Drosophila melanogaster: one gene and its partners. The gene in region 3 interacts genetically with the main gene of each other region. Each region holds a gene or a part of one and is shown on either strand. Other genes may lie near its edges.

The links.
Region 1: of Orc2 (region 3) and PolE2, changing one enhances a phenotype caused by changing the other (phenotypic enhancement), as found in Drosophila melanogaster (one study listed by BioGRID).
Region 2: of Orc2 (region 3) and htt, changing one suppresses a phenotype caused by changing the other (phenotypic suppression), as found in Drosophila melanogaster (one study listed by BioGRID).

What each region holds. Positions count from the first base shown.
Region 1 is NT_037436.4:5,892,280-5,903,719, forward strand, and holds PolE2 (DNA polymerase epsilon subunit 2), read right to left. Parts: upstream 5,157-11,440; 5' UTR 5,101-5,156; coding exon 4,395-5,100; intron 4,338-4,394; coding exon 3,466-4,337; 3' UTR 3,412-3,465; downstream 1-3,411. Other genes in the region: CG5592 (uncharacterized protein), read left to right, coding at 5,369-6,011, 6,080-6,272, 6,330-7,116; CG32409 (uncharacterized protein), read left to right, coding at 7,320-7,468, 7,526-7,778, 7,836-8,329, 8,394-8,547; QC (glutaminyl cyclase), read right to left, coding at 8,639-8,820, 8,874-9,081, 9,138-9,281, 9,517-9,822, 9,881-9,976, 10,056-10,142; CG32413 (uncharacterized protein), read right to left, coding at 10,608-10,813, 10,872-11,082, 11,138-11,248, 11,306-11,440. UniProt on the Drosophila melanogaster protein: Accessory component of the DNA polymerase epsilon complex. Participates in DNA repair and in chromosomal DNA replication. Has a role in the entrance and progression through S phase. Has a role in endoreplication. Essential for viability and tissue development.
Region 2 is NT_033777.3:28,689,966-28,702,055, reverse strand, and holds the start of htt (huntingtin), read right to left. Parts: upstream 5,815-12,090; 5' UTR 5,725-5,814; coding exon 5,651-5,724; intron 5,385-5,650; coding exon 5,127-5,384; intron 5,064-5,126; coding exon 4,847-5,063; intron 4,786-4,846; coding exon 4,656-4,785; intron 1,722-4,655; coding exon 1,053-1,721; intron 619-1,052; coding exon 16-618; intron 1-15. Other genes in the region: snu (snustorr), read right to left, coding at 6,898-7,072, 7,132-7,463, 7,530-7,590, 7,654-8,102, 8,429-8,716, 8,779-8,920, 9,086-9,234, 9,296-9,812 and 1 more.
Region 3 is NT_033777.3:13,960,437-13,968,323, reverse strand, and holds Orc2 (origin recognition complex subunit 2), read right to left. Parts: upstream 3,440-7,887; 5' UTR 3,391-3,439; intron 3,333-3,390; 5' UTR 3,317-3,332; coding exon 2,743-3,316; intron 2,675-2,742; coding exon 1,829-2,674; intron 1,759-1,828; coding exon 1,322-1,758; 3' UTR 1,249-1,321; downstream 1-1,248. Other genes in the region: Kots (kotsubu), read left to right, coding at 4,450-4,592, 4,677-6,108, 6,174-6,928, 6,989-7,185, 7,247-7,398. UniProt on the Drosophila melanogaster protein: Component of the origin recognition complex (ORC) that binds origins of replication. DNA-binding is ATP-dependent, however specific DNA sequences that define origins of replication have not been identified so far.

The DNA of each region.
Region 1 (11,440 bases), on a different chromosome or scaffold from region 3:
AGCCGGGCCAGAGATATCCCTGAAATCGGCTTATGTCGCCTGTGCCATTGTGCTGACACGGCTGCAGAATTGGAGCTTTTGTCTTACTGTCCAATGGCCACTGGTGTCCTGTCGAGCGTGGGAGAGTCCTGCCCACTCAGGTGATTTATGCTGAGTTTTAATTTAAATGCAATCAATTTGAAATATGTAACCGAAAACTGGTAAAGAAAAAAATGATAAAAAAGGGCTTAAATAGTGAATCAAATTGAAAGGTACTAATATAAAAGAAAGCACGAATCCAATAATTGAAAATATGAACAGAAAATCGAACGTAAAATCACCAGATAAGATTCGACTGATTCAGAGGAAATTTCGAAGAATAAAATCTGAAAAGAATACTTTTAATAGCTTTTTCATAGCATTCGTTTATACAACGTATTAGAGTTTAGAAGCTCCCAATGAGCAGTTTCTTTAATTCCTTTCTGGTGAGTGTCATTCGTTTGAGGAAAACATTATTAGAATCATTAGCAGGAGAGCTTAGGAGCCAAATTCAATTATGTCAAACATCTAGGTGTTATCTAGATGCATTTTCCTTGGCTAATGAGCTGCGCTTACCCGCGGATCCTTATCCGGCAGCCAAGTGGCCAGGACAAAAGCCGCAGAGACGCAAATGAAATCAATTAAAATTTATCACATGCCAGTTGCTTCATTAAGACACAAAGGGAACAAGCAGCAGCGGTGTCCCCAAGGTGCAATTCGTTATCCCATCCAAGGACAATGGCGGTCAGGATGCGGCTGCCTTGTAATTTGTCCTGCCACCAACTTCCACCGGCAAACACAGGCAGACAGTTGTTGTTATCGGCTTAAGGAAGACAATAAAACGGCGTCGCCGTTTGTCGCTTTAAATAATAAAAACATTTGATTTGCCAACTCTGGCACGTGGCCAGGACTACCGAAGTCAGTGGATTTATCCCTGGACTGGCTGAGAATGCGCAAGCAAATCGCAGATAAAGCCAACGCGTAAATTAATGGTCGCCACGTGTCACTTGCTACTCCGGGACCGAATCGACTTGGCTCAGATCGCTTGGGATTGAATTGAATGGCCGGACACGCTGGGTGGTCCAAGGCCTGCTACAACTACACCATGTGTGGGAGCAGCTTATGGCCAGCAAATTATCGCCTCCTTGCGATGGCGAGTGGTGACCCCCAGTGTTTGCTTTGCGGCTGATAATTGAGGCGTAAATGTCGGCACACGTCCGGACTCCAGAGCGCCGACCGTCCGGGGCTTAAGTTGATACATTGATACATTGTTGTCATATATTCACAGTGGAGTTTATGGAGCGGATTTATATACGCAGTTTCAGCTTCGTTTACTCATTCCACCCACAAAGTGCACTTTGCCGCGTGTTTTAGGACTGCACACAATGTTGATGATAACCCTATCAAATTTTGAATGCCGACAGCAGCTATAAGGATGCAGCTCATTGTTGAGTTCGTAAAAAGTTAATAAACCCTCCAAGTATCAATGGTTGCAAACAAAAGAATGGGTTCATAAACAAAGGCGAGCTTTTGATTTTCCAGTTGACGTTGTGGTTTCAAAGCAAAAGCCACGCAAAACCTTTGACCATATGCGCTAAAAATATTGCCATATTCATGCCCTCGAAGGGTTTTTAAAATGGTATTATATATGCATGTTACATACGAGGTAATAAATCGAAATGCTCTATATTAAGATATAGAGTAAACGCCACACGAATTTTTAAAAAAATTACATCAAATACAAGTTGGGTTTTATGATTTCCTGCTAATATCAATAAAAATAACTTTTACCATTACGGAAATTGTACATGTGCTTTACTATGAGTAGTTTTAGATTATTAATGTTTTATTTATTTGAATAGCCAGCTTGTATTTATGCTTGTAACAGGACTCCATTGGAAAAATCACACAATTATTTCCATACTCCATCGAAAGGGTATCAGCGAAGAACGATTATAGCCACCCCAGTTTGAAATATTTTGCCGAATCAAAATCACACCACCAAGTCGAGGATTACCGGATGGATTTCCAGGGGACGCTTGGCATATGGCCACTTGGCAACACCGAGGAATCAGTCGAACAAAGCCCAGAGACGGGTTAACAATTGTCAAATAACCACAGGACATGCACATGAGTGCATCGCCGTTTGATTGCCAAGCATGTGTGTGTGTGCAAAAGGATAACCTAAGGTGGGATATGATGGCCAGTTGCTTTGATCCTTGATTGGACCAGGCCCACTTGGGGCGCAGCTGGTCGAGTGATTGATGGCCAAGACACAGATTCACGGATTCCGCATCAGCGATTGCTTTAATCGAGTCCCAAAGTCTGGTGGGCGGGGATCAAGCTGAGCTCCAAATTAAATGGTGTCAACTTTGCGGGGAGAATGCCATAAAAACCGATGACCATAACAGATAAAATGTTTTCTTTTTTATGTTATTGCGGCCAAGTTGCAGAGCAACCGCAAAACAATATTTAAATTTCAAAAGTTGCCAATGTTACCAGTTAAATGAAGCAGAAGCAAGATTGCTGTCGCACAGCAAGCATTTTGAATCTGCCTTTCTGCATTGAGGAGCTGGAGAGAAACCATGTATACAGAGGAATATAAATGTTCAACACTCGAAGGGATAAAATGAAAATATAGTTAGCACCCAAGGCTGACCACGCCCACCAAATCGAATTGACACTCATGGTGGACACATTTTGGAAATTGATCCCAGGGACGTGCGGCATACAACTAGCCAAGTTGCACTCATAAATCATAAATCAATAGGAGAGCAAAACGCTTCGAGCCGTTCGGCAGGAGGAAAAAAAAACCTCCCCACTTCCACATCCTACCCGGCTAATGATGTCTTAAAAAAACGATTCGGCAACTGGTCATGTGACAGCAAATGGGGGCCATCGATGTCCTCAGGTCAAACGCATTATCAAAATTGCCGTTTCAGCTGCCGAGGAGTTGCGCGCCAGCCTGGGAAATTGAATTTCCACGACCCTAAGTGGCCGGCATCGGGCAGAGTAACAATATTTTTCCAAATCGGCTTTAAGTCATGAAAAGTAATAGACAACCCCCGGTCGCCGTAAAAAGCAGATTGCGAGGCGCGTCAGCCGCACAGCCAGGAGACGATTGTGGAACACATGCTGTGCGCATATGATGACTGACGACGGTGATGATGAGACTGGGCCGCTTATCACGAGGGAACAGCCACACGCACTGGGTGCCGAAAAATGTTTCGAGCTGGCGGGCCAAGCAACATGTGAGGTCGCAGTGAGCTAAGCTCCCGAAAGAAGTTTATATCCAAATTGTTAAATTGATGGTATTCTTTCTAAATATAGGCTTGCAGTTGTTTAAAACAAAAAAAAAATTGCCCAAATAGCCCGAAATCCAAAGAGTAATCGACATATGTAATTAAATAATTATTCAAACTTACGTTAAGGTTAACTATATCATAACTACTCCAATTCGTCCGGTATCTCCGAGTCCTCAATCGTTCGCGTCGCTGGTATATACACTTTGAATGCGAACTTGGACTTGACAAAGGAGCCGGTATTGAGAACAGTGCAGCCATGTTGACTGCTGCTAAAGCTCTGACACGAATCGCCCATGACAATCAGATCCGGCAGTGGATACAACCACAGAGCAGGATCGTAGTCCCAGTGCACTGGCATGGCAATCGGATGAATGGGCACCAAATGACCCTGGCACACAATCGTTCTGGCAAAATGCTGCTCGATCTGGGACGTGTCTTCAGGAAAATGCAAGGTGTTGCGACAAAACTTGGCCATCAAATCCAGACGGCAGACCACAATCTGCTGGGTGCAGTACTGCAGGCGACACGGATTCGTAGCCAACTGGGTGCGTGGCCAGGCCTTTAGCAGCCCGGCTGCCAGGCATTCGGGAATTGGAGCACGGGGCAGAATATTAGGTGCCGTGGGATCTTCGGACGAGGGAACGAGTATCAGATCCGTTTGCTTCTTCAGCTGCTCGCAGCCAGCTGCCAAGCCACCCAATGCATCCAGGTGATGCCTCAGTTCATGATGATTCCTTGTGCTGGCCGTGAAGGGACCCATGAGCACTATAGCCTGCGGCGGACAGGAATCATAGCCCACGAACAACTGGCGCAGCTTCTCCATGACAACCGGCAGATCCAACCGAACGTCGGAAAGGAAAACAATGGTTGTTTCCGTGTTGGTACGCTCCAGTTCCTGTAGTCCGGCTGAGTACTTCAGCAGCTTAGCAGATTCACCGCCCCAAGTGTTGGCGGTGCCGAAAAATGCTCGACTGCTGTTTGCCGGTTCCGCAGGTGGAAAGCCCAGGCCATCAACTGGGGAAACATAAGAAACTCTTGAGATGTAGTTATTAAATACTTTGGGCTACTTACCCTTGAGCACACCGTTGTTATAGTTGCCCTCGGCTAAAACAAAGCAGCCCTCGCAGAAGAAGCCGGCATGGAAACGGGCTCCAGTGAGATCTAACTGGACGCAACCCGTGGGATCCTCGACATAGAACTTGCCCTCTTTAAGCTGGGTAAGTAGCCCCAAAACAACTGCCTCCTTCATCGCCGACGTGGCCAGCAGGTTCTCCGCGAACTGGAGCTTAAATTTCTTGGCCTGGGCCTCGGCCCCAACGCCATCCTGTATGACGGCTGGGGCAAAGAGATCGTGTCGCAGAGTTTTCTGTAGTAACATGGCATATCGTTGCTGCATGTAGTCCGATTTCATGCGCGGGGCGGTCAGCAACTGGCGCGGCTGAGTGTCCAGTTCGAATTTCTTTATCCGCTGGTTGTACCGAAAACGGGGCACCGTAAAGGCATCGATCAGGGCAAAGACCGTCTCCCCTTCATCCAATCCCACCCGGTTAAGTTCATTGATGGCCTTCTCCAGGGCGGCTCGCTCCACATGAGGCGTCAAAAGCTTTTGGCTTTGGAGATTCTCGGTGATCACCGTCAGCCATTTGTCCCGTTCCGCTGCGTCAAAGGGTAGCAGCTGCTCCGCCAGGTAGGAACTGTTCTCCGAGCGGATCAGGAATCCACATAGCTTGAAGGTGTTTGTTATTCGCTTTCTCAGCGGCAGTAAATCCACATCCATTGTTATTAAAAGTTTTTTCGCGCGCAAATTAGATATGGATGTTGTCAATTATCGATATCTATGTGCATTTGTGTGACCAGCCGAACATGAAGCTAAAATAGAAGGCCTAGAAAGTAATCGAAAATTGGCGGAAAAAAGTGGAGTTCAAAAAGTTGATATTTGAATGGTTTATTCAAAATAACATATATTTAACTATTTAAGGTTCAAAAAGAGGGCTTTAAAGAAGTTGGCTTTTGTTTAGTACATATTTATAATATTAAATGTCGAAATGCCCCCCAGAGATTGTGAAAAGTATGAGAACTTCTTGCTGTTCATTGGGGACTTTGGCCCCTTTCAGAAGCGACTGCTGTTTTGGATGATGCCCGCCGCCTTTCTGTTCGCATTCACCTACTTTGGTCAGATATTTATGATACTGTTGCCAAAGAATCACTGGTGCAGAGTACGAGAACTAGAGGGACTGCCGGAAAGTGAACAAAAGAATCGGGGAATCCCCAAAAAGCAAGATGGCAGTTTCGAGAATTGTTTTATGTACAATGTGCCCTACGACTCAAATGCGACCAACGATGCGAATCAGACAAGGAGCCCGATACCTTGCAACAATGGTTGGATCTATGATCGCAAGGAGGTGCCCTACGAGTCCATCGCTACCGAGTACAATTGGGTGTGCGACAAAAGGGATTTCGGGACATATAGCGTCGTTGTCTACTTTGTGGGCTGTATTGTTGGTTGCCTCTGCTTTGGATTCATAACCGATCATTCCGGTCGCTTGCCTGCACTATTTCTGGCCAACTCCTGTTCCATGATCGGCGGTTGCGTAAGTGTGGTCTGCAAGGACTTTCCCTGCTTTGCTGCCAGCCGATTTGTGGCTGGACTGTCAATGAACTACTGCTTCGTTCCCATTTATATTCTAAGTGAGTGTTGCAGAGTCAATTAACATAAATCATAAATTTAAATATCATCATCACATTCTTTTCAACAGCTTTGGAGAACGTTGGCATCAAGTATCGCACACTGGTGGGGAACTTAGCCCTCACATTCTTCTTCACCTTGGGCGCCTGCTTGCTTCCCTGGCTGGCCTATGTCATCAGTAATTGGAGGCACTATGCCATGGTCGTTGCCCTGCCAATTGTATTCATGATATTGACCAGCTTGCTGGCTCCAGAGTCACCAAGGTAAATTAATGATAACAATAGGTTTTCAAGCTATCTAAACTTCATTTCCCACTGCAGTTGGCTTATGTCGGTGGGTAAAGTGGACCGGTGTATTGAAGTCATGAAAGAAGCGGCCAAAGCCAATGGAAAAATCATTTCCGAAGAGGTTTGGTCCGAGATGCGGGAATGCTATGAACTTAAATTTGCCAACGAGCAATTGGGAAAGCAGTACACCAGTCTGGATCTCTTTAAGACATTTCCCAGGCTCGTCGTCTTAACGATTTTGATTGTCACATGGATGACTGTGGCCCTAGCATACGATGCCCATGTTCGCGTAGTCGAAATCCTGGACACAGATATATTTATAACCTTTTCCCTTTCCTCGCTCGTTGAAATTCCTGCTGGAATCGTACCAATGCTTTTGCTAGATCGAATTGGTCGCAAGCCCATGATGTCGGCTGTCATGCTATTGTGTGCAGCATCCAGTCTCTTCGTTGGTATTCTAAAAGGACATTGGAATGCATCAACGGCAGCGATTGCAGCCAGATTTTTCGCCACAATGGCCTACAATGTGGGTCAACAGTGGGCCTCTGAGATACTGCCAACCGTGCTGCGCGGTCAGGGACTGGCTATTATCAATATTATGGGTCAGATGGGTGCCCTACTCTCACCACTTGTACTCAGCACCCACCGCTACTATCGTCCCTTGCCCATGTTTATTATCACATTGGTGTCCGTGATAGGCGCTTTAATAATCTTGTTTCTGCCGGAGACCAAGGGAGCTACGATGCCACAAACGTTGGACGAGGCGGAAAAGCGCTGGACGTTACGTTGTAGAGATCGTAAAATAAACGAGGATCTTTAAAAAATTAATTTAAAAACTTATTTTGAAATGGCGCCGATAGACTGATAAGTATATAGCCAAGTTTCCCTGCAAGGTTTGAGTCTTCGGTGCGAGTTTGGTACATTTATTTAGTATTTTTTAGCCTATTCGTTAAATCTAGTGCATGGTCACAGTTGTCAGCACGTGGAATTGAATTTTGCTGTTTATACGCTAATTCCCTGAAAATGGATGTTGTTAAAGAAGTTCTGGCCAAACACCAAAAGGAATTGGACAAATACAAGCCGATCACAGTAGAAAAGCATTTGGAATGCCGACTCGACGTTGGCAGCCTGCTGATCACAGATCCCAACGATTTCGATGACCGGGAATTGAGGTAAGCGGCGGTTTCTAGCGAGGAATACTGATTTTTCACCAGTTCCATTGTTTTTAGGGACAACAAAGAGGAGTACCTGACCGCACTGACACGGGAGAACACCCAACTTTTGGTCAATGCCATTTGGGAGTTGCCCACCGAACGGGTAGACGAGAGCATTGTGGCCAAGCTGCCGGAACCCACGACGGTACTGCCCCGCCTCCGTAAGCCGCCAGGTCCACGTCCGCTCACCAAATGGGAGAAGTTCGCCAAGGAGAAGGGTATCAGCAAGAAGAAGAAGGACAAGAAGACCTACGATGAGACCATGGATGCAAGTTTTTGCTCTTTAATCTTGTCAAGTCACAATCTAAACCTTGAATCTTTATAGAAATGGGTGCCTACATATGGTTTTAAGCGTGCCGAGGCCGAGAAGGCCAAGGATTGGGTGCTGGAGGTGCCACAGAACGCCGATCCCAATACGGACATGTTCCAGAAGAAGATCGACCTGCGCAACGAGAAGGTGGCCAAGAATGAGATCCAGCGGATGAAGAACATTGTGCGCGCCAAGAAGATCGACATGCCACGCAGCGGTTACTTGGGACCCGAGGCTGCCTCATCCAGCCAGTTGTTAACGGCCGTCACTGTGGCCAAATCCTCCACAGCCTCAGTCGGCAAATTCCAAAACAAACTGCCCAAGGAGAAGGAGGCACGTGGTCTGGGCATTAAAGAGCTGATTCCCGGCGGCAAACGCAAGCAGTCGCATATCACACAAACGCCGGAGAAGGAGGCCAACCTGGATCTCATCAAGAGCGTGCTGAACAAGAAGCCCAAACTGGACGTGAGCAAGGCGGTATCGATGGAGAAGCGCGACAATCGCTTGGCGTAAGTTTAACCTTTATCGTTAAATGAGCATAGTCTAAAGCTTAAACCTTTATTTCCTCAACAGACGCGAAGCAGAGGCTGAGAATGAACCAGGCAAGAAGGGCGGCAAGAAGCCCAAGGGCAAGGGCAGTCGCAAGGCGGTGGGCAAGAAGTCCAAGGGCAATCGTGGTCAAAGGGCTCCGGGCAAGAAGGCGCAAGCCGGTCGCAAACGTCGCTAGGAAGAATTACACATGCCTTAGGACACTTTAATTAACGAAAAACACTTTACACTTATGCTTAATAAATCTTAGCCATAAGACAAAACATAAACTATGTTCGGTAAAAACGCAAATTCACTGGTGACGTGTGCCGCTTAAGGTATTGATAAACGAAATTACGGAAAACACGGTTGAAATTGCGTATGGAAGGCCAGTGCAGATTGGCGGCATTGTCCCGAGGCGTGTGCCAGACGTCTGGGAAAGGAGTGGCTACCAAATGCAGCACAGGAACATCTGTATGGAAAACGTCTGTGATTATGGATACACACTAAAGACATCAAACTTACTCTCATCTAAAAACGGTCGATGATCATCGTCGACTAGACCACCGCTGACACGACTTAAAAACATATTGTTATTGCCCTCCAGCTGGCCGGCAGTGCGCAGAGATTTCTCAATCTGCACGAGACTGGAGTGCAGTCCGTCGGTGTTTTCATAAAAACTGGAGAACTTGGGATTCCGCGCCCCAATTAGATCCAGCAGCACCAGAACTTCCTGTTATTGATACAATCTTAGCAAGCTGATAATTCTCGCAAAGGTCATTGACTTACAATTCGATCTATATTGCGTGGAGCTAGTTGCGCCTGGGAACCACTGCGTTTGCTAGCCAACTTCGCGGCCAGATGCTTTGATCCGTATACAGAGTCCGCATCGGTCCACTCCTTAAAGGCCTCCTCGCCATCGAAGAATATGAGCTGGTGGATAAGAAGGTTGGATTTTCAATAACTATAGGAAAAATTCTCTACTAGATCTTATTAACATAAATCAACTTTTTCAATGTAATACTAATGTCGTATGCCTAATTTCAAATGGAGATTTGAATACCAAACATGCAACTTGTTTTCGCTCAGGTTTGGTATAACTGGAGTTCATGGAAAATTTATTTAGCCACCAAGGTCTGTGTTAATGGGCACTAAGTAAGCAACTTACCATAAGTCCCACATCGCTGCGATTGCGAAACTCTTTCTGCAGATACGCGCCCAAGGTCTTGGCGGTGTTCAACAGAATGGCACAGGGCACGGCGGAGTCAGTGGCGCCCACAAAGCCGGGATCATTGGGGAAGTACTTGCTGTCGTAGTGGCAGGCCAGAGCGAGAAAGTTCTGAGCCTGGGGATTGATTGTGCCCACTACGTTGGCAAACGTGAGTTCGCCGAAAACTGGAACTCTCTGCTTGAACTCATCCACTTCCGTTTGGAAGCCAAGGCCGTTCAGCGATTGGACCAGGTACTCGCGCACCTGTTTGAAATGTTAATATTATAACGCCAAGTAATACACTTGAAGCTTTATCACCCACCTGCTGATGTCCCCGACTGCCAACGACGCGTGGCACCAAAATGGAGTCCAGGGTGCGGTTGAAATGGACCTCATCGTCGCGCCACTGGGATCCAATCTGGAATATAGATGGGTCTCTCTGGTTAACCTAACAATGCCTGGTTTCCCAAGTGAGTCACAATGCTTGGGGTACTTACGTTTCCCGCTGTCGCTTGCTGATGCGACGGCGGGAGGAGGAGGAGCAGCAAGCCTGCGGCGGCAAAAACTACGGAACCGATCGCCATCTATACGCTTCAGAGCTCGGCGACGCACTAAAGCCCGATCGGTGGCTGAAAAATCGATCTTTACCGTAGTTGATGTTGTGGTTTCCGATGCTGATGGCTTTTGTTTTCGTTTTCCGCTGCCTCTTTGGCGGCAAACTCACTTCGAAAGCTTTGAACCTTCGTTCAAGAGAGTTTTTAAGAGTGAATCATGTTGATGTTGCGGTAAATGCAAAAAGCTTTAAAGCCGCGTTCGTTGGGGAAAAGTGAGCCGACTAATTGGTGCTGATAACGATAATTACCTTAATTACATTAGTGTACGTTTAGTGACTATGCACTTAAAGTCTAGAATGAACACTAAGTTTAAAATGTCTCATACTAAACCAAAGTTTTCATTCGAAAGTTATTTTAGGTGTATAATATACATTTTGGGAATTAGTCACTTTTTAATGCTATATATGTTTTATAAAAAATGTAATCTAATTGAATTTAGTCATCATAAAAATCATAATTTATTGCAAAAGCTTGTCGCCATTTCATAAAGTATTGCCACTTTTCATAGAAATCATGCACAAAACAGCGAATAATTTTGATCATATTGCGAATGGTAGGATAGTGTAGATTCTCGACATTGTCCGCTGGCGTATAAAGAACATTTGGAAATTCATGTGGACTCACATGAATGACTGGCACATCTATAGATGAACAAATACACGTTATAAAATAGTAGTATAAAATTAACTATGATATTACCTTGTTCGTCGAATACAATATGATCGTCAAGCAGATCTTTGTCGTAATGTGTTTTCTTTTGGAATAACACATGACAGTCGTCGAGTTCTCCGGATTTTCTGAGATCCTGTTCGATGTCAGCAATCAGGTTGTGCAAATCATTGGTAACTTCAAAGAAGCTCAAAAAGGTTTGATTTGGCGCGCCAATATAGCTGAGAGTTACTGCAACAGCCTAGTTAAAGATTAATATGGGCTACAAGTAAAGATTATGCATTTTGATATATTACCATGTCGCGCAAAGGTATAAATTCTTCATCTATAAAGTGTGTTGCGCCCAAAAGTTCATTTTCGTCATAAGGATCTGAGCTTAAGGAATTGTGCCCGTCGAAGAAGATAAACTTTAAAGTCCTATTTTATAATTAAATAGTTGCAACGCAAGTTTATGACTTACTTACAGCCAGTCCCACGGACTTTTTTTCAGACCACCTATCTATTAAAAATTGTCTCAATGTTTTGGCCACGTTAAGAAGAATGGCACACGATACAGCGCCTTCTGCGGCTGCAAGGAACTCATCGGTGGTCACATTTTC
Region 2 (12,090 bases), about 15 Mb from region 3:
TTATGGCTGGCTCACCTGCATTGGAATGCGACAGCAGATTGTTGAAGAATGTGCCAATTGCTGTTGCATCGCCGGATTCCACCGAATCATCCGCCGGTGGATGTTGCTGCTGCTGCTCTTTGCTGCCGGCAATTGTGATTTCGGCATCGAAATCGATGCTGTTGAAAGATTCATTGTCGATGTCACTCAAATGCTGGGATTTGTCATCGCTGCCGGCGAGCAGATTCTGCAAAGATGACTGATGCTGCGGTTTAGGCAGCCCCCCAACATCGGCATCAACATCAATCAGTTTATCGTCCTGCGATGTTGCTGCTCCGCCTGATGATGCTGCTGTTGTTGTGGGCAATTTCAATGCCGCTGACAGCGCCTGTTGTTGTTCATTTAGTTGCGACAGGGTTGTAAAGTCATCACACTCGGCACTCAGCAGCTCCATGTCGTCGTCGTCGTCATCATCATCATCATCATCATCATCATCCTCCGCCACTACGACACCATCCTCGTCCCGCTGCTGCCGGTGTCCTTGCCCCTGCTTGTCCTCATCCGAGGCAACGCATTCGCTGATGCTGCGTGCGGCATTCCTAATGTGGCAGCGCAGCTTCGTTGACTCCGGCTCTCCCCCTGGAAAATGCAAAAATGGTGTGGGCATGAGTTCGGGTATGGGTTAGCCCTACAATTTGTGTAAATATTTGTGCAGGATTCCGCTGGCGGCAAATGCAAATGCAAATTTGGCCTGACCTCGTTCCTGCATGTGCCGCCGCCTAAAAGCATGCACTAATAATTTTCATATGTGCATTGTGTGTGGGCGTCTCCATCAGCCTGTGCAATTGCTCAATTTTCTTGATTTCGGCATGGTCTGTCTGTTGGTTCCGTCCGCCCGTCCGTCCGCCTGCCCGTCTGTCTTCACGGCCCTCACTGTCCTGCCACGCCCGTCTTTTCCCCCAGTTCCTCTGATCCTCCGTCAGCATGTCACATTTCCACATGACTGCGCGCACACACTCCCAAACGCAAACCCACAAACCATCTCGACTTGCATTCTGCCTTATTTGCCATACCTTCATCAGCGACGGAACTTGGAGCCTCGGTCGGGGCATCTTCCCCAGCATTAATTCCCAGCGAGCTGTTGTCAACCTCGAGTTGCTGCTGATGCTGATGCTGCTGCTGCTCTCGACACTTCGCCTGCTGCAGTTTTGCATTTGAATTCTTTTTCATTTGCATTGCAGTGGCCCCAACCACCAGCTCATCCACATCCTCGTTCTCATCCTCATCCTCGAGCTGGTGTTGACTTGTCGCCACTTCGTAATTTTTCAATTGGAATATTTGATTCTTTAATGATTTCCTTCGCCGCAAATACTCATTGTGCTGCAGTTGTTGATTGCACAACAGTTGGCGCAAACTTTGGCCCAGACTCTGGCTACATTGGCCATCGGATGCGGCGTCCACAGCCTGGAGTATGCCGTTGATGACCTCCAGGGTGGCATTTATGATGGCGTGATTCGCGGTGTGCTGCGTGCTCAGCAGGTGCAAACAATAATCATAAATTTCAATAATTTGCCGACAGTCGGAGGTCGTCGTCTGCTGCTGTTGCTGCTTCTTGCCGGCCAAGGACTCGGAATCCTCGTGGCTATCGCCGGGGTAGCCGCGTATAAGCTGTGGCAGCAGGAGGCGCAGCAGCCCCAAGGCTCCTAGCACGCTGTTCGCTTGCTGATCCGTCAGCAGGAGCTCTGCAAGAAATAATAGGGATAAGTTAGTTAATGGAGGGAAACTTACGGCTGCTGTTGATACAAATTAAAAACGCTCTTCAAACTTTTTGCGCAGCGTGTGCTGGCAATTCCAATTAGCTCAATAAGCAATACGCGAGCATCTGATACAGATACATTTACAGATAGCAATTCCAATACCAATACAAATACCAGTACCAGATACCTTTACCCACTTTCTTTGGCGTTTGGCCGGCCAATTGCAGTTCATACTTCTTTCGTGTTCTTGGCAACTTTTCTCTCATATGTTTTGCAACAAATTGCCTCCAATTAAATTTATCTCGTTGAAAACTTTCCATCTGATATTTATAGACTCTGCACACATGCACATACTTCCCGCTACCCACCACCCAGTCCTCGACCTCCCGCAGTTCTTGCTCTTGTTGTCTCCGCTTATTTGTCGTTTCATTACGTATACGCCACCAATCACAAAACGCCATGTTGGAAGTTTGTTACTCAATTAGTTTTCATTTTCTTCCTTTGGGGCGCAAAATTGAAAACACTTTTCGCCGGAGAAACTTTTTACATGGCCCTCATGGCAGCCAAGTGACTTTGCCGAGCACAACTTGCGGCCTGTTTCCATGTGTATCAATTAATAGCGGCAGAAGCCGCAAGAACTTTCTGCAAAATTGGCGAGCCCAAAACGGAAAGAGCAGAGAATCGGGGGACTTCATGCTGGGCACGTTCGAGGACTGCAATTAATAGCCACCCGAATAGAGGTGTTTAGTTTGAGGCCTACTAACTGCAAAGTGCACAGTCAGAATCAAGTAATCCCAAAGTTTGAGAGAAAAATGTTATCAATTATTTGATTACAAATCAAACAATTTAAATAAGAATTGTTTCGATATTTTTTAACACACACAAACGAATATACAGTTGTAGCTGAATATTAATTAATTTTGCAGCTGTCATACACGTAGAAGCCCAAAATGAAGTCAAAATGAAAATAATTACTTTGACATTCTCGACCAGGTGGACAATCTGGGGGCCATGGAGTACGTTTTCAAAGAGATCAGCAGCGTTTTCAGATTATGAATTGGTCATTGTGCCATTTGTGCTGCCATACCAAGTTGCCATGGAAAATAATTTGCACTTTTTGTTTAGCTCGGCATCAGTCAGTGGGCAACATAAATTTTGCCAGCTCCCCTTTGCATCTGCCGACTTTCCTTTGCTGGCCTCGTTCGGCCGGCATTTGTTTACAACGTTGATTATCCGCTTTAAAGCTGCACAGGAATGAATATCTGATTCAATTTCGCATGAATTATTGCATGGAAGTGTCCAAGTGCATAAATTTCATTTCGTCTACGGGCGGGGAGACAAACAAACGGAGATGGCGTGGGCGAGGGCGGCTCTGCGGTCTGTGTTCTGGGGTCTGGGATCTAGGATCCCGGCTCTGAGCTCTGAGTTCTGAGGTCTGAGCACCGTACTTTGTGTCTGTTTGTTGGGGCATGCCAGAACACAGGCAGCCCAAGTACTATGATGGGTGCCCATAAAAAGAGGCGCCAGACTGTATAAGGATGCGCTGAAGAGTTGCCTGGCATTGTGCCTTTGCCGAGAAGTGGCATAAAGTTGACACAGGACTAGAAGACCGGTAGGCGGCAGGGAAAGGAGCAGAGCTAGAAACCGGAACAGGAGCTAAAGGAGTTGATTTGAAGGTAAACATTTGGACAAGAAAAGAGCAAAGGAAGAGTCAAGCCGAAGCTTAATTTATATGAACTTGGGCGAGGTCAGAATTTTGACTTCCATAAAGGTAGTCCTAGCAAATGAATTAGTTTTCCCAGTCCGGTATATCACTTCAATTGTTTGCAAATGCCAAACACCGAGCTCCTCTGAGGTTTGAACTTAATTTTTTGTTGGACAATGCAGCAGGTCATAAAAAGACGATGGCAAATGTAACGTAACTATGGTGCATTTACCTCTTCGTCGACGTTTGCCAATAATATTTTCATGAAAATTCAATAAAAAATGATTTGTGTTTGCAATTTTTAAGCATTTTCGCATGGCTCACGTTGCCATGACTTTTGTTTTTGCCGCTGCAGTTATTGCTGCAGTCCGCCAGTTAGCAAATGTTAAAATAAAAACTGCCCGCTATCGTTGCCTAAAATCAAAACAAATCTGGAAAAAATATATGTGTGTATATTCGTACATTCGATGGCTCGTCCATCGATTGCGCATGGTAACCAACAGCACTGTAGAAATATAATTTATATCAACTGTCTAGTTACTTTTATTGTGCCACGCCCCCTTTAGCGCCCACAGGCCACAGACAAACAAACCCATGGCTGTGATTGCATTCACAATTCGAGTTTGAATAAAACCAAAAACCATCTATTCCCGCGCTCGCGTAGTTCGCAGTTCGATGGCTTTACATTTTGGTAAGGTATTTTTCATGGATTTGCGGCTTTTTAGAATATTAAAAATATTTTTTAGCTGCAGAGCCAGCACGAACCTAACAATATATGTATATATATGACGATCTATGCGAGGCTTAGTATTTGGCCGTTACACGCTTTTTAAACATCTCTTTCATTATTGATGTGAATATAAAGAGCGTCCTGTTGAACACAAAGTGTCGTAGCGAAAATGCGTTAAATAACTAACAGCGATAGCAGCGAATAGTGAATACGTTTATCCAAAAGTGTACAAACAATAGAGGCTGTTATTAAGGCTGCAATATTGTTAAATTTAATGGTGTTACTCTTTGCGAAATAACAATAACAGCTGACCCTAGAGTTTTGAAACAAGTGTATCATTCTGCTGAATTTAAATTCCTTTTCTAATAGTAAATAACAGCACTCACGAACTTCTCATTTGCTATAGTTGCTAGTAAGGATGCAGTGTTCATATGGATTTTTCGTATTTCTCTCAGAAATTCATTTCCTATTTAAGCTGTCTTACCCATCACTTTGTTGACCCCATGTCTGGCCATGAGGCTCCTATTGCGTGCATTCTCAATCAGACTCATGCAGTTTTGGGCAGAGCAACGACGCTTGACGGCACAATCGGAGCTAATTTGGTCCAGAAAAGTCTGCAAAAGTCAACAAACGCTTAAACATAAAAAGAAAAGACGTTTAGGGATATTATTCTACCTCGAACAGTTTGCAGGATTCGCTATCGCTGAGACCCTGTTGTATATGGCGGCTAAAGTGCTTGACGAAGTCGCAAAGAGTCTCCTGGAGCAACGTCTCCTTGCGCTGGGAAATGGTGGTCATACATTGGAGCAATCTCACGGCATACCACTTGATGTGTTTCTCCTTTATTTGTGGAGCATAGTAGGAGAAAAGGTTTAGGCAAATCCTCAGGGATCTGTGCAGAAAGTTTTTCTTTTTTAAGATTGTTATTTTAGCTTTAATATATTTGCCTCCTTACCTCTGGTTACCATTACGCTTAATTTCACCATACAGATCCATAAGAATGCGACTGACCCGGGTTTTCTCGAGTGACCTCAGTATTTTATTTAGGTTTTCCTCGGCGCTCATCCGAACCACGGAATCCACATCCTCGCAGAACAGCAGCAGAACATTCGTGGCCGTGCCGCAGTGGGCGGCATAGTTGATGTGGCCCGCCAGCGAGGGCGACATGATGCACTCGGCAATCTGCTGAAAGCAGGTGATCTTCTGCTTTTGGCTGTGGGGGGTTCGAAATAAATTAGTTTTATTACAGGTATGTGGCATGACGTCATAGCGGATGCACTTATTGCTCAATGTTGAATGAATGTTTTGGGTGGCCTAACAAGTTGGCAGGTTCATCTTAAGGGCAATAAAACCACCGGAAATCACCTGGGCTTCATAATTTAATCAATATTGTTCCGTAATGAGCAACAAACTGTTGCCGGTCCCCTCCCCAAAACATTCAATGCAACCGAAAACAATCAAATTTCCGTTCAGTCCCACCTGCATTCCGTATTTCGCAGTTGTTCCACGAAGCCAACGAACTTGTCGTACGCACTGGACCTGGATTTGTCCATTTTCGCGTCCTTAATAACGCCTAAAATCGCTTTTTAAGCATAAACAACACAGGAAAACATTGCTCTTTTGTTATGATTTCAATCAGCTGTAACGCCAGTGTTACCAGAGCGCACAACTGCTTTTAAGCGGAACACCAGCGACCAGCCCTGGTATTCAAGTTAGCTATCGTTAAATATTTAAATTTTGAACTAACCTGCTAAATTATCTTTTTAGTTTTGGAGAAAATTAGAAGTGATAACATATTTATTAAATTCCAGCCAGTTGGTCACAATGAGTTGTTATTTCCTGCATTTAAAAGACTGTTATGGACATGCTAGAAAACAGTAACAGTGCATTGGCGCCAATGTTAAAATGAGAACATCTTTTTCAAAATGTAAGTAAACCAACAATTAAATTTAACTTTATTTATTTATTCACGCTTTATTATTATTTATACATAACTGCGTTCACATTAATATTTACTTAAATAAGAACGTTTTTCACTTGTTCGTTGTTCATTGTCTTATGTTTGTTCGTTGTGAAATATTTATGCTCTGCGCAAAATATTTCCTGAAATATATTTTTACATACTCTTTAGGGTTGCGTACATTATTGTATTTAATTATGTTTTACCTTAAAAAACTTAAACCCATACAAAAATGCTTTAAGCTACTTAATGTTAATAACAAAACCCACCATTGTTTTTGTTCGTTTTCATTGTGTTTTCTTTTTGTTTAGGCTTGCCCTACGTGTATTCGCGTGAATTATGTAGAAAAAACAATCACAGTCCATTGAAAATATATAAAATTAGTTGCGTTTGTATGTGATAAACTGCCCGTGTCGGCGTCGAGAAAAGGTCTAGTACAGAGGGTTGCAAATAATGGACATCTAGAGCAACGGATTACTGAATTCGTGACACAAAATATTTACAACATTTCATTTAGGAGTACCTAAACCTTACGCTTTAAACTACGAAAGTGCGGAACTTAGTCTAAGGAAAAACGAGTGCCGAGTGGAAAGCTAAGGAAAGCTGCGAATGTGCTTAAATAATTTATGACATTTGGGCAGATACGAAGGGAAGTGAAACTCGAAAGTGGAATTAAGAAGAAGACCCGAAGTGGGTGTAAACTAATTAGGACGACTTATCGTGTTCTAAAGTTAGGCATCTAAAAGTAGCGTAATATCTGAAGATCCTAGCCGCGTTTGGCTCGCAGCACGAGAAGCGTCAGCACCAGGAAGCCCACAATCCAGGACAGCGTGCTCACATAGCCGATGTACACATCCGACTCCAGTATCGCCCAGCCACGTGTGAGGATGGAGCGCAGCGAAGAGGTGGCTAGCGTTAGTGGCAGGCACAGTGATATGTATCTGGGGGATAAGATTTTTTAAATTTCCATTCACAACAGAGTAATACCACAAGAACTCACCTCAGCACCACGGGCATGCCCTCAATCGGCCAGATCACTCCAGACAGCAGCAGGGTGGGATAGAAGGAGCCCAGCGCCAGCTGTATGGCATTCCTCTCCAGCTCGCACACCGAGGAGATGAGGAAGCCAAAGCACATTCCACACATGCCCTGCAACAGGGTCAGCACGATGACCCAGAATAGGTCGCCGTTGTTGGTAACCCCGAACACCACCAGCATGAAGATCAACACCAGAGTGGTCTGTCCGCACATCACCACGAACTGGGTGATCACGTGCGAGAATAGAATCTCGAAGGGCGAGACGCCAGCCACCCAGGAGCGATCCAACAAGCCCTGGAATGGAAGTAAGCAAATTTTATTATAATTATTCCCAAAAGAGGATAGATTTTCTCGACTTACCTCAGTGCGCTCAATGATCAGAGCCGATGACGTCAAAGCGACAGCCAAGAAGAATACAATGCTATAAAATATGTGAAAAAAGCATTAATGACTCTCCCATTAAATGTATATCTATGAAACCTACGTCAAGATCACGCCAGGTGCCACGAAATCGGTGAACGATGGATTCATGGTGCCGTAGATGGGGTCCCTGAACTGAATGGGCACGTCGCCCAATTTCGGATTGCTGCCGCACTGGCCGAGAAGGCCCATGGCGAAGTCCCTGAAGGCCAACTGGATGTCCCGATTGAGCATGACGCCGATCTGCTGGTTGGACATGTCCAGCCAGACCTTGACCTCGGAGGAGTCGATCGTTTCGTCGTCGGAGTCACGTCCCAAATTAGCTCGGGCAATAAAGGCGTCCGTGAAGTTCTCGCTGATGTAGACCGCCCCCCAAGCTGTGCCCTTTCTCACGGCCTCTTTGGCATCGTCCAGGTCCTCATAATATGTTTTAACTACGCTCGTATTCAAATGACTCAGATAACGACATCCCAGGTTCTTGAAGTGGCATCCATCCTCCCAATAGCAGTTTTCCTGAAAATATTTTTATATTATATCATATTTTAATTGGTTAAAGTGCAAGTGATTTGATCATTAAAATGGTTAAGCTGGTCTTTAATTATAGTTGTATGATAATTAAGCTTATATTTAAGTGCTATTCAAATTGTATATTTTATGGCATCAAATGCCAATAAAATCCATCTTAAACTTTGTTACGTTTTTATAGTTGTGTAGTTTTTAACAATCTTAAAAGTGGTTTAATCAAAATATTTCACTTGGTATTCAATAGTTTGAGTTTTAACTTGAATACTAAGCTAAGACTTGGAATGTGCATAAAGTGTGTATAATGTGTGTCTTACCCTTACCGTGTCGTTCATCTCTCCGTTGACTATGGCCAGGTTAAGGCCCTGAGGATCTCGTCCGATGGCCAAGCAGAAAAGGATCACCTGCATGACGGGCAGGGCGAAGATGAAGAGCATGACGCCCACGTTGCGCCACATGCGGAGCATGTTCTTGGTGAGCAGGGCGCGAATCTTGCCCTTGGAGGTGATCTTGCACAGGTTGGAATAGCAGTCCTGGCAGCTCTCCTCATCATTGGGATTATTGTTGCGCCGGGACGGCGGCGGACTGTAGGGTTCCTGGTTGAGCTGTTGCAAGCGATAGATGTTAAGATTAACCCTAGCAATCGCAAGGATATTCCAAAACGAACCGTGTAGATGGAGCCATTGCTGTCGTTAATGAGCACCTCCTTGCTCTGGTGGAAGTTGAGGCCCACCACGCCGCCCTCCTGGCTGGAACTCGGCTTGTCCATCTTGCTGCCAAAGGCCATGGCGTGCAACGAGATGTTGTTACTACTCCCGAAAAACCAGTTCAAAACCACAAACAGATGGAGGTGGAACACAGATTGCGAGCATGCGAGTGTCGGATGGAGGAGAGTCATAGTGGAGAGTTCAGAGTGGTGATTAGAGTGGTTGCGTCGGGTTAGCCACGTGGTGCATGCCAGTCTAGATCCTTACCTGAAGTTCACGTGGGTCACATCGCCCTTTTGGCTTTGGATGCGGGACAGCTTGAGGAATACCTCCTCCAGGCTGATGCACTTGTAGATGGAGAGCAGGACGCTGGGTGACTCCTCGGCCAGCAGGTGACCCGACCGCATCAGACCGATCTGAGAATATATTTATATTATTAATATAAATATATATAAATTGAAATTCTAAATCGCTCACCGTATGCGCCTGTCGTGCCTCTTCAATATAATGTGTGGTAATAATGACCGTCTTTTGGCCCGCCTTGGTGATGTGCACCAGGTGATTCCAGATGCTCTGACGCAGCAGTGGATCCACACCCACGGTGGGTTCGTCCAGGATCAGCAATTCTGGATCGTGCATCAAGGCCACAGCGAAACTCACACGACGCTGCTGACCACCACTGAGATTCTTCACCAGTCGCTTCTCCGACGGCAGATCAAGGAAGTTGAGCAGGAACTGTAGACGTTCCAGGATCTCCTTGGTATCCATGCCGAAGATCCAGCCGAAGTACATCATGGTCTCCTGGATGGAGAACTCTCCGTACAGTGCGATCTCCTGGGGCATGTAGCCCACACGCTTTCCGGGAACACCTGATCCCCTAGTGCCGGGCTTGCCGCCCAGCACAAAGATCTCACCGGCGTCCATGTAACGACGTCCAACGATGCAGGAGAGCAGGGTGGTCTTGCCACATCCGGAGGCTCCCAGAAGACCATAGCTGGGAAAAAAGAAAAGGTATTTTAATTAAAAAGTGTTTGTTGAGAGCATATACCATACTAAACCCAAACCAAACTTGTTGTGTAAATAATTATATATTGTCTCATAAAATCTTTTTTGAACTTTTTATTTTGGAAAGCAGACGTTACTTATTAGCATTTTTAGTTTTTCTTGAATGTCACTTTTTTATACGCTTTTTGACCATTAAACGGGGTCACAAAAGGTCAAGAAGCCAACCGTGACAGAGAGGTAAAGAGATTAAATGAAAAGCAAGCAGAAAGAGGGAAAAACATTTAGCCAACTCAGCACGAAAACTGTCGCCACCGTAAACAAGCCTATATATGTAACTGGATAGATATATATATACATATATACGATCGTGGCATGTCGGCGGCGATGTCAATGCTAATTCCATCAGTTCAAGTTGAATTATTTCCAAATGTTCACCTTGAAATGTAAGAAATGCCCGCAGCTATCACAAAATGCGACTCCGCCCCGTTTTTGTGCTTTTGGGGAGGGGTTAGTCCCCATTATTATTATCGCCATCATCATCATGATGAACTTGGTGGCTGGAATTATTGTGATTATCGCATTGTTAGTTTGTCGTCTGTTTTCGTTTGGTCTTCGGCCTTTGAAAAAAAAAAATATTGCAGCTCGTAGGTCGCACGTTTTGGCCTCTTATTGAATCTATTATTATAATTAGCGTGCTGAGCCATTTAGCGAATTAAACCAGACAAAATCTGATAATATAGCCCCTGGGGATAGGAGTGTCTGTCTGTCTGTGTGGTAGTTGGCCAGCCTTTAATCGACTTCAATCGCTAATGCACTGACTTTGACAGCCGAAAAGCAGTTCGTTGACTCGTTCAAAGCCGAAAAATATATGACTAACTCGGCGACCTGACCTAGGTCAAAAAGCTGAACGAACCAGGCTATTAACTGGGTCAAGACTGCTGCCCAGACGGCGGAGAATAAAATAAAAATCCGTTACGACACAGCATTAAATCGCTGAATTAATCACTCAGAATGCCGAAAACAAGAAATAAACAAAATTTAATAATACAGCTCGGGCCGTAACCAATGCCAAAGGCAGCGAAGAAAAAAAAAAAAAATGAATATACGATTTTTTATTTTTATGGCCCCTAAATGTTTGCCAAAAATTCGTGTGCCGCAATTAAGCACATGTGCCGTGACAAAGATGGCAATAGATCAGTTGGGGGGTCTCTGAACAAACATCATTATTGTTTTGCAGCCATTTGCAATCTTTTCCGACGACAATCGATCAATATAGCCGGGCATATTGGTTTTGTTTCGAGAATAACGCAAACAGGCCCAGTGTCTGGCATACAAATAGATTTCGAGATTAATTGGCAAGACGTGTGGACTTAGTCGCGTCATTGACGTCAGTTGGGATGCGGCTTAATTGGGATCACTCCACCAGGGGCATCTCTGCGATGCGAGATCAGACGAACTTTCCTAACGACCCTCGCTTAGCCGCTAGAATTATCATGCAAAAATGCCGTTTCAATTGCAAGATAGTCGAACGACTAAACCGGTTAGCCGCATATAATAGCCGCAATTAGGCGCAAGCGTAACCAAGTGACCTCTGATGTAGACGAAATCGGATCGGAGATCGGAGATCGGTGCAAATGCAATCAAATCTCAGACACAAGGAAATCGCTTAGCATTGCTGCTAATTTCGAATTCGAGTTCAGCCAGCATTAGGTGCTAATTACTTTCGCCGTTTCTATTTTACAAACTCGCTAAATTGAGCTGTCAGCATTTCACTTTTATTGATGGATCGGAATCGCTCGGATCACTCTCACTCACATTGTTCCCTTGGGCACGGTCATGTTCAGGTTGTTCAGCACCTGGTTGGCGTTCTTCTTCTTTCCGTACGCCTTGAAGGCATGCCGCACGGATACGGCGGCCTGTGTGTTCCGGGGTCCATTGGCCGGAGCACCCCATGCCGCCACGGCATTCGGCTGCGTGCCACCATCGTTGTTTGTGGCCGCCATCGCGGAGTCTGTGGAAATACTGCAATGATATCGGGAAAAATGAATTAGTTCGGGGTTTCAGATTGAGGATTATTTTTATAGTACCAAGAGTATATTAATATTATATATATTATTTTAATTGTAATACAACTATCCATATCCAAAGATACTTGATACCTATTTTTAAAATCATAGATAATCGTATGACCTTACACAATGGAAACTAAAAGGTGACTTATTCGTTAACGTCAAATATAATTCAAATCGTTAAATATAATTCGAATA
Region 3 (7,887 bases):
TGATAATGAAGTTGATTTATATATTGTGTATATGTAAACTCGGAAAAAATTTTCAGATTCAAGGTTTAATTGCACCCACCACCCACCAAAATCGAAGAACTCCCCCATGAAATTGAGGAGAATGTAAAAATTTATTGTTTACCCGAGTTCTAAACTTTAATTTACTTTTCATCGCTGAATTCATGCCTGAACTTTTGTTTTTCGATTCCCCTCGTCTTTTCTTAAGTATCTAAAAGTATCTAAATTTCAATATCAGACGCCTGTTTCTCTTTGTTAAGCGCAAAATGTAATTAATTTGTTGTACAAAACTATAAAAACAAACAAACAAAGCATTGTCGAAATAAACGCAAGCAGTAGCAATTTGTGTATAATAAGCCGATAAAAGTGAAAAACCAACAACACTCTTGCATCGATTCATTTTGTAAAAGGGGAGATTCTCTTGGGTGGTTTCTCTTCTGATTGATTCAGAACCACATTCTGCCATTCATTCCCACAAACGAAGCTTAAAAAAAAGGACGAGCAAAGTAAACGTGATAACAATTATCTAACTATTAAAGAAAAAGTAAATGTGCGGCGCAGGAGATAAGACATTTTTATATGCAAAAATGCTGATCGCAAACTCGGTGTGTACAATTCAGGTATTCAGGAAGGGGTAGAATTTTGCAATAAACTCAAAATAATATTAATAGGAGCCAGCCATGAACGATTCCCCATTGTATGTGTACTTCCGATTGACTTCGCATGTGATTTGCTATCAAGAAAGTGTAAATAAACTAGCCTTAGTCGCAGCAATTACATTTCGTTTCGAGTGCACAATTAACTAGTTACAAGTCCAACGCTTTAATCTGTGTATGTGCGTGTCTGTATAGTGAATAGGTAACCGATATTAGCCTTTGGAATGGATGAGGAGCACGGAATGGTCAGGCGGTAGTGAGTCTTATCATTTTTGGCATGCTTAGCTATGTTTAGTTCGCCTCTTCTGATCCTTAAAATCGTATCCAAATGCGCTCTCATCCCCGCAGTCGTCGAGCACTTGCAGTGCTTTGTGAAGTTTTGTGTTGCTATATGCTCGCAACTGGAGCTGAGGAAAAAAACTAGCCATCCTAGAATGTGTATCTTCGAGCAAAGCGACAAATTTTATGCATGCCAATCTTAATGTGTAGAAATTGACAAAAAAATAAAAAAGAGCGAAAACAAACACTGCGCACTCATCATGGGCAATACAAGTGACAGCAACACAACATTTTTAAAAAGCGAAATTGTAATTGTATTTAACAATATTAGATAATAAATTAATATGTTCTAAAATTACGCCGATGGCCTATTTCTTCTCCTGCTCCTCGAGAAACTGCTGCAGCAGTGCGCCATCAATGGGAATGGTTAGCTGTTCGGAGCCATCAACGCTCCGTTTCGATTTGACCAGCTTGTGGTCGAGGAACTCGGTGAGCTGGGCACGCAGTGCCAGATCTGAGCTGACCAAAAATGCTTCGCGACAACTCGAATAGAGATCCCTGAACGGCATGCCCTGGTATGTGGCATTGCCCTTGTTCTTCAATTGATACTTAACAATCAGCATGTAAATGCCACGCGAATTGGTCGTTAGCGATGAGAAGACACTGCGCATCGAGGAGAGGGCCAATTCGCCGGAATTCTGCACCAGCAGCGAGTTCTCGAACGCAGTTTCGTTCGTATATGGCAGCATTGTTGTGCAGTCCCACCACGAGAAGTTGAAGCTGCACAGCTTTCCCTGGTCCCACACTGCAAATTCGTAAACAATAATTAGTTTTGCTGTCGCACTATAAAGATCTCAAAGCATCGGTGCACTCACACAGTGGGGTATTTATGTGATCAATGGAGGCCAGTAGATGAATGTTCGGTATGCGCGCCAGGCGCGAAAGAATCGCCTGTGCCTTCACATTGCGAAGCATGGCTCCATCCAGATTATGGACGATTAAGAACAAATGTGTTTCCGGTATCAGTGCGAACTCCTCCTCGATCATATCCACTGCTTCATGTGGATTAGCCGGACTAATGCCCGCATCTAATATGTCGCTTGTGATGCTATCCAGCATATCCTTGATGGTCAGACTGGGAAAGAAGCCATTCACCACCAATACCGTTTGCTTATGCAAAACTTCCCGATGGAATGACTGCAGCAGCTGGTGCTTGGAGCCCAATCCATATAGAAGTATATTGAAGCCTTCGTTCAGAATACACATCCACTTGGGAAAGTACGATCGATACTCCTCCATAATGGCATTAATAGAACCCTCATGCTCCGCCGATGTCTTGATTTCCGACAGCAAACTGAAAACACGATCGGCGGCCAGGCGAGGATTCTTTAGGCGATCCAAGGTGTGATCCGAAGTGAGGATCTTGCTGCTGGCATGCGAGTGAAAGTAACCATCGCTCTCGGGCACAAACTCATTCGATTTTTTCGCCCTCGCCGATTGTCGCAGGCGGGCTGCCGATGGAGTTTTCGGCAGAACGGGGACTACAATGGCACGGCGGGCTCTACTGGGCGTTTTGGGCTCATCATCGGCGGCGTCGTTGTCAGAGGAGTTGCCAGCATCGCTGCTACTGCTGCTGGAGGAGGATTCCTCGTCACTGGGCCGGAAATCGCTTTCATCTCCAGAAAAATCCTCATCTGAGTCGGCCACTATTTTGGCAATCTCTGAAAGTGATAATGAATTTATAAATAATGGAAAAAATGGTAAAAGGACGCAGAAAAAGGCTACCCACGCTTCTTGACGCGGGTGCGCACATGGGCGGGAGTCTTTGGCTGATCCATGGACTTCTTGCGCTTCGTATCCGGCGTCTTGACACCCAAACGCGGCGTTTTTGGGGTCTTGGGCGTGCAGGGCGTGGCATTTAGGGCGGCCAGTGCCATGGCATCGCGTTTCTTGGGCGTATTGAAGCCAAACATGCTGGTGCCGGCCACATTGTACTCGGATTGGATGAGATGCAGATCCTTGGCAGCGGGACGGGCAGCATTTTCCGACTCCTCGATGCTTTCTTCTTCTTCCTGATCCTCCGCATCGCTGCTCCGTTCATCGGACATTTCCACATAGTTCACAACAATTCGCTCTTCCTGGCCTTTTCCATTGCTTTCCTTCTGGTACGCCTGGTATTTCTTGGTGGGACTTGGACGTCGGGTGGAACGCCGACTGGTGACCTTGGGCTGAGATTCCACTGCATTCCCAACCATTGCCGTGTTCAAGTCCTCGGATTCCTCCTCCGAATTGGTGAGGTTCTCAATGGACATGAGGTTCTCCTTCCGCGGCGTCTTGTAACCGCCTTTGTTGCTGGCACTCATGACGCTTGCCACTTCACTGGGGGCCCTGATTATCAAAATATTCAATTGGTAAACAAATAGTTCGCAAAATATACTCAATGCTCAGAAGTGGCGGGAATTATCGATAACTAAGACATGCCAAGAGTGTGGCCAGCTCTCGACCTAGGAAGTAGCTAAGTTTCTAGCGTAAAAAAAACTAAAGGGGCATGACAATTAAAACACAAATGTTATAAATATTTGTATAAATATATATTTATATAGGTAATAATTACAAAAAGAAATTCCGTGACACAGTTTTTAGAAATAACTATATTGTTCGAATAAGAATTGCATACGTTATCGATAAATTTAAATTAGAATCCAGTCACTGACAAAAGCTGAAGTGTTTGTTGGCAACACGTGCGCGTACAAAGCGGTTATTTTTTCACTGTCACAAATTCCTTGCGGATTAACCACAAACGTTTTTAAAACTAAAAAGTGTTAAAATCGGTAAGTTTAGGAAAAACAATATTTGAAGATGGGAAAATTACGCTACGTTCTTATTCTGAATTGCGGTCGTCAATGGACTTGCGGTTAATTTTCAAATAATATTGCCTATATTGGCAAAATAATAACACAAAGTAGATTTGCGTTTTCAGATATATTCAAACAGGTTCAAAGAGTATTCAACTTCCATGAAAATGGCTTGGCGAAATTGATTGTAACTGGAATATGTAGAATATTTAGCATATGTTGTGTCGTTTTAATTAAAGTTTAAAAACTTCGTAAGCCTTATTTTTCCTTTTTTAATTAACGATCAAGTTTACTTCCATCAGTGCGCTGTAAATCGAAAACCAACCGATATCGATATCGTCCTGTTCTCTTTCTTCCCACGTTCGTTCAATGCACTGAAGCGCGTGCCCAGCGAGCTTCGAATTTAAACGCGTTTAGTGAACGTATCGCATGTTTGTGAGTTGTGAATCGCGCACTTAAATTCTAAAGGATTCCACCTTTTTCAAAACGAAAACATAGAAAGTTCTCGTCCAGCGTAAATAGATTTTCACTTTGTATTTCATCGCGTGCTAAAAGTTCTGTTAGCGCCATTTTGCTGCGTTTCCTTTAACGCGCCGTTCTTTCATTCACACGTTCTTGCGTTGTTACTTTGAATTGAAGAAATGGAAAAGTCGGAGGAAAAGACATGCGTCGTCTGTGGCACTCCGACCAGATTGATGTGCCAGCGGTGTGGAGAACCGTACTGCAATGAAAAGTGCCAGAAATTGGATTGGCAGAGGCACAGGCAGGTGTGCATCATTATGCCGTGAGTTAAATTAGTAAATCCGTTGCGCAGCAGTGCATTAAGTTAGGGGTTTTTAATTCTTATACAATACAAATGCGTTTCCAGACCCTTGGTGGAGTGCCGGCCTCTTCAACCGGCGTTGAATCCAATCCAGAGCGTAGAGAACCAAGTTGCTCTGGCTAAAACTCGCACTAAATCGCCAATCCCATGTGTGGAGCCCACAGTTGCTGTGCCGAACAAGCCGGATCTATCGGAAAACTGGCGCAAACATTTGCTGCCGTCGGGCATGGAGTTTTTCAAGTGCCGCGTGACTTTCATGGAGAACGATGGACCCATTTGGGTGGTGCACGTGGCGAATGTGGAGGCCATTGAGCGAATGACGGTCAACATGCAGCGCTGCATGCAGAATAAGAAGATGATTCGTATGGAAGGAGTGCGGGAGGACACCCTCGTGGCCATCAGTGTGGGCGACAAGGTCCATCGCGGTCATGTTTTGACGGTTTGCCAAAAGAAGCAAGAAGCCAATGTCCGTATGATTGACCACGGTCAGATAGTAGCTACACCGTTTCGGGATATCTACACCATTGTGCCCAAGATGGCCGAAAGCAAGGCGTTCGCTTTCCGTGTTCAATTGCCCACGAACACTGGAGTTCAGGACATTAAGAACTTGACGCTCCGTATGTTGGGAACCAAAACCAGCGACGGAGCTTATCACGTCCATCTAAAGCCCAAGATGATAATACCACTAAGTTTGCCCTTGGAGATGCTGCAGCTTAATCCAGAAGTCAAAGTCATCCGGGTCTTTAAGGCAAATCCAAAGCATAACGAACCGCAGCTGGCCCTACTCCAGATCAACGTGATGGGCCATGTCAACGCAGACTTAAACAACCGCATAGCCGAGAAGCCAAGACAGCCATTCACGCTGCCCTTCCCCGAGCAGAAATCCATCTTCTTTGCGGCCACCCGCACTAAAAATGGTTATCGGCGAGCTTTCCTATTGGATCATATCATGAAACCGAGGCCAACCTATTTGGTTTACGAAATGGACGAGGGTAGAGTGTCCATAGCCACCGATCTGAGTCGTATTCCCAGCGAACTACTTGGCCTGCCCAGTCGAGTGTTTGCCGCTCAGCTGGAGGACTCCGTACCCGAGGAGCTTGAGACTCAAGGTGCAGAACTCACGGTCAAGTTTAAGCTGGATAATAAGCCGCCCAAGGAAAAGTTACGCGCGGCGAATGCCGCCTTGAATTCCAAGGGCGAGCAGATATGTATGGCCCGTCTGATCACTTTCTTGGGTCAGATTTCATATTTAGGCCACAAGTACTGGCGTGAACCCATCGTCCATGATTCCATCGTATTCATTTCCCACTTGGTCAGCTTTAAGGAGGTATACATCAGCACTCCAGACGCCAAGCAGTATGCGGAAATTTTCAAGCGCCTGGAGTACAAGTGCGCTACCATTACCAAATCTAGTGATGTTTCCGTTGGCAGCATCGTGCTCGTTGTCTCCAAGCAGATGGGTCACTTCCGGGGCGAGGTTTGTCGATATTTATGTTGCAGGGTTTCAATCAGTAAAGTCTATGAACTTTTCGAATTTTACAGATATTGAGTAAGGATAGTGGATTGTTCGAAGTAATGAACGTTGATACTGGTGCCACCCAAAAGGTGGAGTTGGCGGAAATACGCAGCTCCTGTCGCTTCCTGGAGAATTTGCCCGTATGTCTGATGCGTGTACAGTTGCAGAATGTCTGCAATATTCCGGATGCAGCTGTGCCAGTTAACAATGCGGCCATTCAAATGCTGCACAAGCTCTGCGCCCAAAAAGAACTGCTAAAATTGAACATGGTAGATGCAACTACATCGACCGTGGACCTGCTGTTCAGCTCCGGCGATTCGCGCTCCTTGACGACCCAAATGTTGCCTCTTATATTTACACCGGTACAGGAAAAAGCAGAAGTTGCACCACCGAAGGCTGCTTCTACTCCGAGTCAATTGCCTGTTGTAACTCACAAACAGCAGAAGGTGTCTCCACAGTCTCTACTTCTGCTGGATCTGCCTCCACTGCCGCCCTCTCCACCGGAGTCGCCTTTTCCTGCCGACGTGACAAGTACAAAGTCAGCTTCCCACGTTCTGCCCATTAAACGCTTCCTTTTCGACGCTTTGCCCAAGAATCTAGCTCCTTTAGGCGACAAGGTCAACCTAATCCTTATGAACGCTGACGGATTGCCGCAAACTGGCTACATCACCGCCGCCTACTTCAAGGACGAAAAGGCGGCCAAGGAATTTGAAAAAATCCTTAGCTTGACATCAAGTCAGGGAGCATGTGACCACAATGTTGTTCCGGGTTACGTACCAAAGTAATGCGCTTTCGATATTTGCTTGTCCTTTTCTTAACACGCACTTTATCCCAATTGCAGCGTTGGTGAACTGTGCCTGGCGATCTACAGCGAAGATAAGAACTGGTATCGCGGAGTCTGCCAGGAGGTTAAGGACAATATGGTCAAAATTCTATTCTGCGATTTTGGAAATACGGAATATGTGGCCGTGAGACACGTGAAACCGATTTCACAGGATTTGCTAATTGCCGTCAATGTCACAAAGTGCTATATAAATGGTATGCGCATAATCGCATTCAATTTTTGCCCGGATCACCATTAATAAACACTTCGTTGCAGGCTTCGACAAATCAAAGAATTTTGCGGCTCTGGAGCAGTTTCTTGTGCGTAAGATTCGATTCTTATGCGGAGTTAAGAAAGGCCCTGAACCCGATACTCGTCTCATTACAATTCCGGATATGGAGACTATTCTAAACACACCAGTTGCATAATTTAACTTAAGAACTCGCATTCCTTCATATGACTTTAGCATTAAGTGTACACCAAAAGTGTATGTTCAAACATTATTTCGATATTCGATATAAGTTTCGACCACAGTGTATTTTCGAACATGATTTTGACAATTATTCGCTTACATTTATTCCAGCACAGAGTGATTCGACTAAGAGACTTGACACCATATAAAGATGTTGATCGTTCATACAGAATTTCTTTAATTTGTTTCATTGACTAGAATTTGTTTTTACCGCACAGAAACTCCAATAAGTAGGCTACACTTAAGAGAAGAGAGAAGAAATATCATCCATTCTTGTTATTTGTTATCTATTTTTTATTATGGGATACGGACAATTCTAGCTAACCCCAGATGTGGTGGCATTCGTACTTCCAAACAGCAGCTATAATCCTTTTGTAGATTGTTACTTAATTTAAATGAATGTTTTACACGTTCGCCGGTTTCATTTATTAGCAAATTTTCTTGT